Linked DNA regions of Xenopus tropicalis. The protein of the gene in region 3 purifies or fractionates together with the protein of the main gene of each other region. This does not show direct contact. Links are inferred from orthologs where the notes say so. Each region holds a gene or a part of one and is shown on either strand. Other genes may lie near its edges.

Region 1 (3,657 bases), on a different chromosome or scaffold from region 3:
ATCTAAATTTTCCTCTCACAGCACAACTGTAGACAAGTGCAAGCTCAGCTTCCACAGGAAGATCCTTGTAGGGTTACCATATCTTTGAATCACAACCAAAGAGTACAGATGTAATTACATAGCTTGTAGCTTGGCTACAGATCAATAGTGCAGGTTTATTTTTATAGGCGACAATGGAAAAAAACACGTTACCATTACAATATTTGAGATATGTAGGCATTAAAACTTTTGCTGGAAGAGCTTTCAGAAACCAGGGACAAAGACTGCCATTGCAAAAACAAATACAATTCAACAATTTTATGCAAAAATAAGCGCTATGATTTCTAACACTATTAAGAAGTTCTGTTTAAAAAAAAGGGATAAGTCAACTTGGCAGTTTGGGCGCTATTCCCCCTGTAAGAATGTAAGACAAAGGAGAGTAAAACAAAAATGTAGCCCAGTGCTGCCCAACTCATTACATCTACAGGGCCAATTATTTCTCATTGGAGGGCCAGATTAAATTAAAATGATGATGCCATATAGTGAAGTCTATAAAGCCTCTGAGAAGACTGGTCATAAAAAGAATTTGGAGGGCCACATTCAGCCTGTGGTCCTATAGCTGACAGCGCTAAGGTAGCCCATAACTTATAAGACATAATACCCCTACGCTAAAGTTTAGAGGAGCAGTTTTATGAAGCCAAATACACAGCTAAGGGGGCTTGTGTGAAAAGCCTGCACTGGACATGTGTCTTCAGGACTTTTCCCAACACAACTTGCCATAGCAAAACACCTTTGATTTGCATTCAAGTAAGGTCTATGGGAAAGACTTAGCCCATGACTACTGGAGCTGATCTCCCACAAGACCGTCCAAAGAGTACTGATGGCGTGATTTGTCTTGATAAAACCGATTCATGACGAAATCCCCACACATGTTGTATATGCCATTAGGCTGAGGCTGGCAATAAAGCAGGCAACATGATAGAAAAAATATATGTTATTCCTGTAGTATATTAATAATTAGGTAAACCTGATACGCAAAAAGATACAGTAGATGACCTTGGCGTGACAGAAGAACTCACTAAGGATCAGGACAGAATCACTAAGATTGTGATACATTCAAGAAAAGTTGCAAAAAGTGACAAGGTCCCTTGGCCCTAAAGGGCTTAAAATGCCTTAGCTTCCATGGGATGTATATTCATATAGGATTATAAAGGTTTCAGGGAAAACAAATGAAAAATTTGTGCTTCTGAATGTCCGAAAAAAAGACAGGTAGCAACCTTCAACTGAAAGCCATATAACATGAATTACACAACGGTCAATCACTGGTCATCTGGTAGCAAACAGCTACTTTACTAGGGTTTTTACAGCTACAAGTAGCCTTTGCCGTAGAGGCTGAATGGCTTTTCTATGGACTATATATGATACACATTAATAAGCATAAGAGATTCAGTTGCAGCATCCTTTTGTAACAGGGGTCAAAGCAAGTTGTGGTTCAGTGCCACTATTGACTGTAGCACCTTGCTCCATAGTACAAGACATTGTTGTATTCTTAGCAAACCCAATAACTGATGTGGCGTATTGATAGCATTGAGATAATCCCTCTATATAGAATTACAGCTGGCAAATGTTGCAAAATTTCAGACATTTTTCCATTAATGGTGGAGAGAATGTCACAAGTTCAAAAAAGGCAATGATGGTCTGCATTTCTCATCAGTTCAAATAAGAAAAAAAAAATCCAAACACTGAGGGGGAAAAAAAGGAAGGCTCCACAAGGATGCACTGATTTAATACAGTGTTTCAGCATTGCTGCTTCTGGGCCTCTTGATTTTTTCAATATTTTTCAGGATCATGTCATGTAATGTTACCTGTCAATTTGTATAAAAAAAAAAACACTTGTTAGACAGCTCAGATCTGATTGGCAGGATGCATTAATAACAGCAATTTGGACCCAAGGTCCAGTCAGACTACTACACTGCCTACAGAGCTACCTTTCTACAAGTTTTAAAACTTATATGAACTATAGCTCCGCTTCAGTCAGAAAGCCCCAGAAAGTGTGTCGGCTGACAGTCAGCCAAGGGGAAGCAGATAGAGGGTTGCCGGTTCTCATAGAATTTTATCTAAAAGGGTTGTTCACCTTTACATTAATGTTTAGTATGTTATAGAATGTCCTATTCCTAGTAACTTTGCAATTGATCTTCATTATTTATTATATATAGTTTTTGAATTACTTGTCTTCCGCTTCTACATATTTTCAGCTTTTAAATGGGGGGGGGGGGGGTCAAACTCTTTTGCTCTGATTTTACAATTTTATTAATATTACTTATCTTTCTATTCAGCCCCCCTCCTATTCACAATCCAAATTCACAATTAAACCACTGCCCGGTTGTGAAGTTAAACAAGACCCCAGCAACCAGATAACTGATTAAATTCCAAACTGGAGAGCTGCTTAACAAAAAGCTAAATAACGCAATAAACAAAAAATTGCAAATTGTCTCAGTGTATTATTGTGTACTAAAAGTTAATTTAAAGGTGAACAACCGCCTTATGGTCTGTTTGTAGAGAACTGACCAAATGGTTGTGTGCGTTGGTACAGTCTATACTTGAACTACAGTTCTACATGAACGACTGACTGAGTAACGCTATGTATTGGGACCATCTGTTTATTAACAACATGGGTTCGTGCTTGTAAAATTTTAATCCGGTCACAGACAGGCTGGACTCTGTCGACCACCACACCCAGCCCGTAATGTCATTGACCTCCAATTCTTCTCTTTCTTCCCTCTGCGGTTTTATATTTATATACTTGCTCCAGCTCTAACCTCTTTGGTGATATCAGACATGACGAGTGCAGCTATATAAGTAATGACAGCATATTGGGTCAAGTTGGGAAAAAGCAGGTAGGGTCAGACACAGGCCAATTTTTTTTTTTTATTATATTATATACCAAAAACATTTTAAAGGAGAAGGAAAGGCTAAGTCACTTGAGGGTGCTAAAATGTTAAGCACCCAAGTGACTTTAATCGCTTACCTCGTACCCCGGGCTGGTGCCCCTGTTAGGAGAAACCAGCCCGGGGTACCTGGAGCGATGCGCTTCATCCTTCCGGCTTCTTTTCGCTGCGACTAACACAATAGGCGCATGCACAGGAGAGTGAAAAGCCGACTCCTCTGTTAAAGTTCGGCTTTTCACTCTACTGCGCATGCGTGCGCGATACAGGAAGGAGGAAGTGCTGCAGCTACCCCGGGCTGGTGTTGTTCCCTCTAAACAGGGGCACCAGCCCAGGGTAAAAGGTATGCGATTCAAGTCACTTGGGGGTACCTAACATTTTGGCACCCCCAAGTAACTTTGCCTTTCCTTCTCCTTTAAAGGCAAACTTCTACTTTCAGGTACAGATATTGAAGTGTCAAAACGTGGCAGAAAATTTTTGCATACTTACATACTGATTTCTTAATTCTGAAATAATTAGTCGTAAGCTGATATATTCTTTCTCATCTATTTCTGTCACTGTACGTCGATAATCTTCCTGCAAGGAAAAATGATGGTGATAAACACTCTATATTATGCTTTATTAGTAACATGAGAAAAAGGTAAGCAGGTAGAAAATTGATCAATGACTGCCACCCTAAGAGCTCTGTACTTACCACATGTGGGTATTTAGCTATTTTGGAAACCAGTTTTGC
Region 2 (3,757 bases), on a different chromosome or scaffold from region 3:
GTTGAGCACTACAGGTGTTCTGTTGGTTTTTCCATGCCAATTCATTGTTTTTCTAAAAATAACTATATTTACTTGGGGCTGCCTAATATATTGGTGAAATATTGTAAATGTGAAAAAATAATGTTGAATGATGTATGTATGTATTTATTTTTTCACCCATCTGGCATATCGTTCTATTGTAATGCAGGAATGTACTTAGGTAGGGATTGTCTGGTTTACCAGATCAAAGTCGCTGATATTGGTGCACTAATTTTTTTTAAGAAGATCACTATTGCAGCAATGCTGCATTCATCACACAAGAATCCTATGTAAGTTTACAAAGCATTTTTATATTGTTCTGTACATGCTTTTAAATGAAAGATGTGACTTTATCTTGACAGTGACAAGATATTAAAGAAGAATAAAAAAAAAAAATTACCTGACTGAATAGCGCTTCACGGAACCCATTAACCTGTAAGAAGAAAGAGAATGGATTTTTGAACATTTTTTGTAAACATACAAAAATGTCCTCAGATCTAGGGAGTGTATCCTGAGAGCCATAGCCCAGACTAATATATACTGCAACTTTTTCTTTGCTGCTTTTAATATTAGTTGGTACAGTGATGGTCACAAACATTTGTGCCAAACACCATATGTTAAGTAGGCATGCCTAGGTTTTGGGATGGTGAAGTGATTTGTGAAGTATACAGGATCTAGAGGAATGGTGCTTCCCCAAAAGACTTTATTACATAATTTAATAATACTCTGAAATGCACATGGTCCTTGCACTGTGGCAGATTTGGGTGAAATATTGACTATTGTATAGTGTAGTCTTCTGTAACACAGTAGCCAACTTGTAGCCAAAACCATTAAATTACAGTTTTAGAATAAGGGTTACATTGGCACTCTTATGCTTAAATCAGTGCTCTGGATTGGAAGTAGATTGGGAAGAGGTGTGTAAACATTAGTAACTCTCCACACATACAAGTAATTGAACTGTAGCAGTTCTTAACCCTTAAACTGAGGAGTTAGGCACCTATCACCTAACCTTACATTTTCTGTATGTATAGAACTATAAGCACACCTACTACATGAATAAGTGTATTTTTACAAAATAGACAGCAGAGGGACCTCTAGTTACAGAGATGCAGATATTTTTTCTCTGCTTAATCGTGTGAAAAGGTTTTCTCTTTTTACTCATTTGTGCTGATGACTCTGCAAGTTTTTCCACCATCTTGGATTGATTGTTTATTTCACATTACTCAAATAGCAGACTCATTTTGACTAAATTCATATATTGTTTTACAAAATGCAACTGATAAAGAAAAATGTGATCTCTGAAACAGAAGAAAAATCAGGCAAAATAAATTTTTTAATCAATTACATGCTTTTATATCTTCATATTTGCTCGATATTTGTGTGGTCAATGATATCTAATGGTCCATATTCAGAAACCTTTTTTTTATATTACAACTTATTTACGTAACTAGTGGGAGGTCCTATCAGATATCTATATATGTGTCTATTTGTTCAGTTGTAACATGATTCTTTTGCAACAGTAATTTTGAATCTGTGCAAGCAAGGACAAGGCTTGTTTCCAACTACAAGATATTTATAGAAACGACAACAAGGAAAGCTGGCTAATTTCTGGGCTTTTGTGCATCCCGGGGTCTGCCATCAAGAGGCTACCTAGCTCTGGGTTCAGCAAAATATTTAATGAGTAAATGTTAAGACAATTTATCTGCATGTGTAATTTACTAACACAAGTTTTACAGCAATCAAATAAGCTGTCTTTGTGGAACAAAATGTATTTTTGTAATACAATGTGTAAAGAGAATTTTTGGTATTAAGGGCAACTATCTCATAAGATAGAATGTTTCCTACTACACTACAGCTGCGGGCTGATGGAGCCCACACTTCAATTTGTGGAAACAAAAGTATCACCTGTATCCAGCCAAGTACTGTGGCTCAAGGGTTCTTTTAAAAATAAAATTGTATTTGGCATTAATATTAAATAGGTAGTTCATTTTAAAAATGAAATTGTATTGTAAGAAAATGTACAGAGGCTGCAAACCCTAGCAACCAAAGGTTTGCGTGTTCCATACATTGCGCCTTATTATATTCCATAATTTTTACCAATGTTTCGGCTCCTTTAAGATGCATGTATATTGGAGTACGGGCCACCTTTGTTGTATGTATTATATTTTTTGATCCTTGGCACTCAGCTTTAAGGAAGAGCAACTTTCAATGCAAATCATATTTAAAAATGTTATTTTATATATCTATATATATTATGCAGAAATAGAAGGTCTTTTATTGGCCACTTTTTTGTTCACTTTCAGTTTTGCACCTCAGTGCTGCAGCTTCTTTTCTAAAGTGTTCCTAGTTACAGGAAATTTTCTATTAAAAAATAATGAGAAGCAAAAAAGCAAATGCTCCTTTTAAAATTTTAGTGACTTTGTATATACACACATTTATACATTAGTGCAAGTGAACCTCAGAGTCCAATTCCAGTACTGTGAAATTCCCACACATAGTTGTGACATCACAACCCAACTTTAGAACCTTCTTCCTTCTTACTACCTTCGTATTGTTTTTTTGTATATGCCACATTTGCAGTAATAGGTTAAAAGCTTTTATATATCGACAGGGTACCCTTAAAAAGGCCTGCTGTACTAGCTTTACAGATCTAATAATATAAACCATGACATACACACTTACCTTCTCCTGGTTGTCCTGGGAAATTTTCAGACGAATCACTTTAGCCATAACTGTAGTTAAAGAGGGTCTTTCACCTTCCTCGGCCTCAGCTTCCCTTACTGTTTTGCTGTGTCTGTGTTGGGCCTCTATCACTCTGTTACTTTCAGTTTTACTTTAGCTGCTGCTTTATACAGTAGAGAGGGGAGGGGTTAGTGGCAATAAAAGGGAATTTCCATCAGCTTATAAACTGCACATTGGCAGATGCATTGCGATATAATTTTATTTTGTGAATAACGTGATGTTGATATGACTTAATAGCTTGTTTATTTTAAACCTATGGCCTCAGCAATCTAAAGTGAAAGAATATATTATAACTCTAATTACTTTGTAAAGTGTTTAACTACCTTGATTATTATTTCTGTTATTTTTTTTTGCTGCCTAAACATGGTCTACTATGGAGTAAAATAGGAGCTGGGTGCAGTGCACCCAAGGTTATTGGTAATATAATGTATGATCATGTTGGATATTAGTACAATTTGGCCATACATGGGGACAGCTGAATTACATTGATCCACCTAATCAGAACATAATGCAGAAATGGTTGCTATGCAGTTCCAGGTTAGATGATACCCCCATACATAACCCCAACTGAGCTGTCAGTTGGACAGTTTTTTTTCTCAATATTTTTTTTGACAGATTCAAGTTTACAATACAATGTGAATATATGGGCTCAAAGAGGCCTTCACAAAATAGTAAAAGTTGTTTAAGTATAAAAAACCACTAAAAATATATTAAATTTACCACTTCAAACCACACCCATTTTATCACAATGGTGGTAGTGCAGCAAAAACCAAAATGCTTGGTCCTCACTGTGGGGATATCAACAGTTATTCATATATGAAAGAATTATATTATGTCATATTAAGACACACTCAGAAATCCATATGCCTCCTCCTCCCCTGTGGATATCACAGCAACCCCCAGCAACATAATTACACACCTTAGGGACCATTTAATGGCTGTTTCCAACTACTAACAAACTCCCAGAACAAATCCCTCCCAGGTTCACCTCTCACAG
Region 3 (3,757 bases):
TCAAGATAAATGCTGCACGTAATCAAGCTGACTGAAATAATCATGCTTTAAGATTGTGAGTGAATGGACGAAGACATGCTAGTATTGACAGTAACTAGATGCAACTTACCGTTCCTCATTTTGTACAACTGCACGTTCTTTTGAATGTACTCTGCAAACTGGACTGTGTCACCTGCCTCTCCTACACACAGCAGCAGGATCTTCTCGCTCATCTTAAACATCTTGTCCACATCTACACAAAACAAACAGAACATAAGTAGCTGTGTCACATAACTGTATTAAAATAAATACCTGACTTCAGCCCAGGTAAATGACCACCAGGAAATTCAAGTTAGAAGGGTCTGTGGCTAAAGGTATATAGCACCTCTATTCATTTAATTTGTTCTTAAAGGGGTTGTTAAACTTATTTGGGTATGGTGCAGACAGAATTCTAAGACTGTGAATTATTAAAGAAAAAGTAAGGTTAAAATCATTGAAAATCATTGTAGGATGCCAAATGTTAAGCACTCCCCAGTGACAATAATAATTTACTTGATACTACGGACAGGTGATCTTGTTAGCAGAAAACTACAATGGCCATGAGTATTTCTGTAAACGCTTATTTTTTTTTCAAAGGTTTTTATTTATGCATTTGTAACATAAAACAACATTAAACATAATGACATTGGTTCTACAAGCGAATTCTGTTCATGTCAGGATATATACAGTGTAAACGCTTATTTAGTGTGATCACCTTCTTCTGATTTCTCATGTCCAGGTCCAGAAGTATGCACCAGCACCACCATATATAGCTTCTGCATTAGTGTGCGGGGCGCCACTGCAATACTGGAGTACTTTGGACAGAAGAAGCTGAAGAAGTTGCTGATAAGGAGCATCTATAGATATTCCCTGGCCCGGGGTATCAGGTAAGCGATTATAATCACTGGGGTTGCCTAATATTTTAGCAAAACCACCCCTCCACTGGCTATACCTTCGCTTGTTCTTCAAAGTTTTTCCCTGCAACTAACAGATTTGAAATTTAAATCTGACTGCCATTTGCTAAATTCTATAGAACCTAGGGAGACCTTTCGTAAGCTAACAGAAGATTAATAATAATAAAGCCTCAAAATCCTTTTTTTTTGGTTGCTGGTGGGGGTCAATGGACACCTCAACCAAACAGCATTTTCAGCTGCTGGCAGGAGAAAGCCAGGCTTAGAAGGATAATAAAGAAAAAAACTTACAACACAAATAATGAAGACAAACAGAAAAGTTGTTTAAAAAAGGTCCACCTATTTACAGCACACTCCAACAGATGTTTATGGCCCAAAGACTGCTAAAAAGCTCAACACACTTCTCTGTATTTCTATACACAGTACATAAAATACTTCAAGTGCATAGCTTATAACATACTAAAAAATACATAAACTTAAACATCCCATTTAAAAATACACCCACAAAGATGTCAGCAGAGCTGGTGAGGTGGATACTGGGAGTTATTAGTTCTGGTATGACTAACATACTGAAGGCTGCCCAAGAGCACCACTAAAGGATGGTGGTAAAAAAAAAAATTCTTGCAAACAATCATAGTTTTTAAGCATTATAATAACCTACATTGTCCAAGAAGTGAGGAAACTTGTTAATAAAAACAAAAATGGAAATAGTTTCAGAAAAAAAATCCAGTGAGGGGAAAAACAGGAAGCACAGATAGATTTTAGCATTTACTTTCACTTTCACTTCTAAACAATTCAAAGCAATGACATGACTGTTTCTTCCATGATTTTCATTCTGTTAATAACAGACAACACCTTTTTGTTATTTCCCTTTTGCCTGTATATGCTACCACACACCTCAGCCCATTTTCCTAAAAACATTGGCTCTTAGAAGGTACAGAATCTAATACCTGAAGCTGCCCAACTGGAAGCCTGTGGGCTGGAGGTGGCCTTCCAACATATTTGTATGAACCACAGGCTGCATATGAGACACAAATGCTGTGCCGTGTATGACATCATTATTTTTATATAATATGTCCCTCGAAAAGATATGGCAGCTAATTGGTTCCAAAATGAGACAGCGCTATTCACGATATATTTTAGCTCTGACAACAGAAATTGCCCAGAATGACACCATTAAATTATATAAAATCATATAACGCTTTCCTGATTAAATGTTTCTCTAATAAAATAACAACCTAAAGTATATAAAGGAACCCAGTATCAATCCTTGTTATTGGCAAACAGTATTTTTATCATTTTTTTTTCATTTGATGGATATTAATCATAAAGCCTGCAACATTCATCAATCTGGATTTTTAAATAAAGTTTCGACTTTTTTTTGTATAAGAACAGAACCACGTACTTTGATCAAACATATAATGATGATGTTATGATCTCTCAGTACAGGTACAGGGTGTAGATACTAATAGTAAGCTTGCTTGCTGCTCATTTATATTGTTCCCGATACAAAGCCTGTAACTGGCTGACTCAGTGTTAGTTATTTGTATTAATAATAATAGCCATAGCTTTTCCATAGTGTATCCTAGTTGCGAGGGGGATCTGGGCCTTGTAGTTTTACGAAAACTTGAGACTAAAGCACACTGTGCTCTTTGGAATGCCCCTGCTTTCCATGGCACTGCCAGAGTCTTGCCCATACAGTGAGACTCACCGTGCTTCATCTTAATGATGCTGTTGGCACACACTGTGTCCGCAGCCACAAGTACGAAGTCATTGCCCTGAATGCCAATCAGATACTCCATATTCCCGCCGCTGTTGGTTACCCGAGTTATGAGTCTCTAATTACGGCCTCGGGACGTTACACAGCAAATCAGCACAAGGCCGGGAATGGGCGCGCTCTACTAACGTCATCAGATATCGCCGGTAACATGATGGGTGCCGGGAAATGTAGTTTTTTTATGTTTTGTCGCTACACGTCTTGTCACTCTTCCTGGTAATTTCAGTATTCCTATTGGCAGAATGCCTCTTTTTTTGTGGTTACGCTGTGTATAGGTGGTTGTACACCAGCAATTGATTGAGCCACTTATCAAACAGTTGAACAATTATGATTAAAATCATTTGACATCTGTTCATGTGCAGGTTCAAAATATCATAATGAGATCTGCAACCTTTTCTTAAAAAAATATAAAATTAGAGCTTGGATAATACGATTAATACGACGTTCACTAACCTACTTCTAGATAAACATGAGAAAATATATAAAAGTCAGGGAGCCATGCTATGCCTATACTTTCCCAAATACCAACCCTATATACTCCTTTGTCATTTTAACCTCAGTTAATTGGTCTACCTATTGGTATACTGTTGAAACACTAAAAAAGTTGGTGTATTAAATGGATAGTCTGTCCTTTTATTTATATTTCATGGGTGGAGAAAGCATGTCAGCCTGCTATATGATATTCTAGTGCAGTCAGACTAGTGCAGTTTAGGTGACAGAAGTTCCAATGGTTTGGTATTAAACTAATGTTGGTGTTTTGTTGACCTCAGCAGCAGTCCTTCCAAGACTTTTTCCACTTGTTTATCATCTTTCTAAATGTACTGTAAAAAAAACAAAAGTTGCTTTGCAATGAAGAGCATGGGCCAAACTGGGGGTAGGCAGAAGAGGCGTGTGCCAATGGGCTATGGGGGGGGGGGGGGGGGGCACTAGGTACGTACCTCTTCTGTCTGTCTCCCCCCTAGTCTGTGCCCTCATCTCTCCACTCATTGTGCACTTTCATCTCCACCTGCAATTTTACAATGCAAGGGTGTACGGGAGAGGATGGAGGTCT

The links.
Region 1: the proteins of psmb2 (region 3) and psme3 fractionate together in Homo sapiens (co-fractionation; 3 studies listed by BioGRID and IntAct, with this or other methods). This does not show direct contact. The link is inferred for Xenopus tropicalis from reciprocal best matches to the Homo sapiens genes PSMB2 and PSME3.
Region 2: the proteins of psmb2 (region 3) and psme2 purify together in Homo sapiens (affinity purification with mass spectrometry; 3 studies listed by BioGRID and IntAct, counting the BioPlex papers as one, with this or other methods). This does not show direct contact. The link is inferred for Xenopus tropicalis from reciprocal best matches to the Homo sapiens genes PSMB2 and PSME2.

Annotation. Positions count from the first base shown.
Region 1 is NC_030686.2:21,570,665-21,574,321, forward strand, and holds part of psme3 (proteasome activator complex subunit 3), read right to left. Parts: coding exon 3,619-3,657; intron 3,501-3,618; coding exon 3,414-3,500; intron 1,845-3,413; coding exon 1,764-1,844; 3' UTR 1-1,763. UniProt on the Homo sapiens protein: Subunit of the 11S REG-gamma (also called PA28-gamma) proteasome regulator, a doughnut-shaped homoheptamer which associates with the proteasome. 11S REG-gamma activates the trypsin-like catalytic subunit of the proteasome but inhibits the chymotrypsin-like and postglutamyl-preferring (PGPH) subunits.
Region 2 is NC_030677.2:139,415,170-139,418,926, reverse strand, and holds the start of psme2 (proteasome activator complex subunit 2), read right to left. Parts: upstream 2,827-3,757; 5' UTR 2,749-2,826; coding exon 2,701-2,748; intron 452-2,700; coding exon 419-451; intron 1-418. UniProt on the Homo sapiens protein: Implicated in immunoproteasome assembly and required for efficient antigen processing. The PA28 activator complex enhances the generation of class I binding peptides by altering the cleavage pattern of the proteasome.
Region 3 is NC_030678.2:81,977,620-81,981,376, reverse strand, and holds the start of psmb2 (proteasome subunit beta type-2), read right to left. Parts: upstream 2,807-3,757; 5' UTR 2,732-2,806; coding exon 2,641-2,731; intron 233-2,640; coding exon 110-232; intron 1-109. UniProt on the Homo sapiens protein: Non-catalytic component of the 20S core proteasome complex involved in the proteolytic degradation of most intracellular proteins. This complex plays numerous essential roles within the cell by associating with different regulatory particles.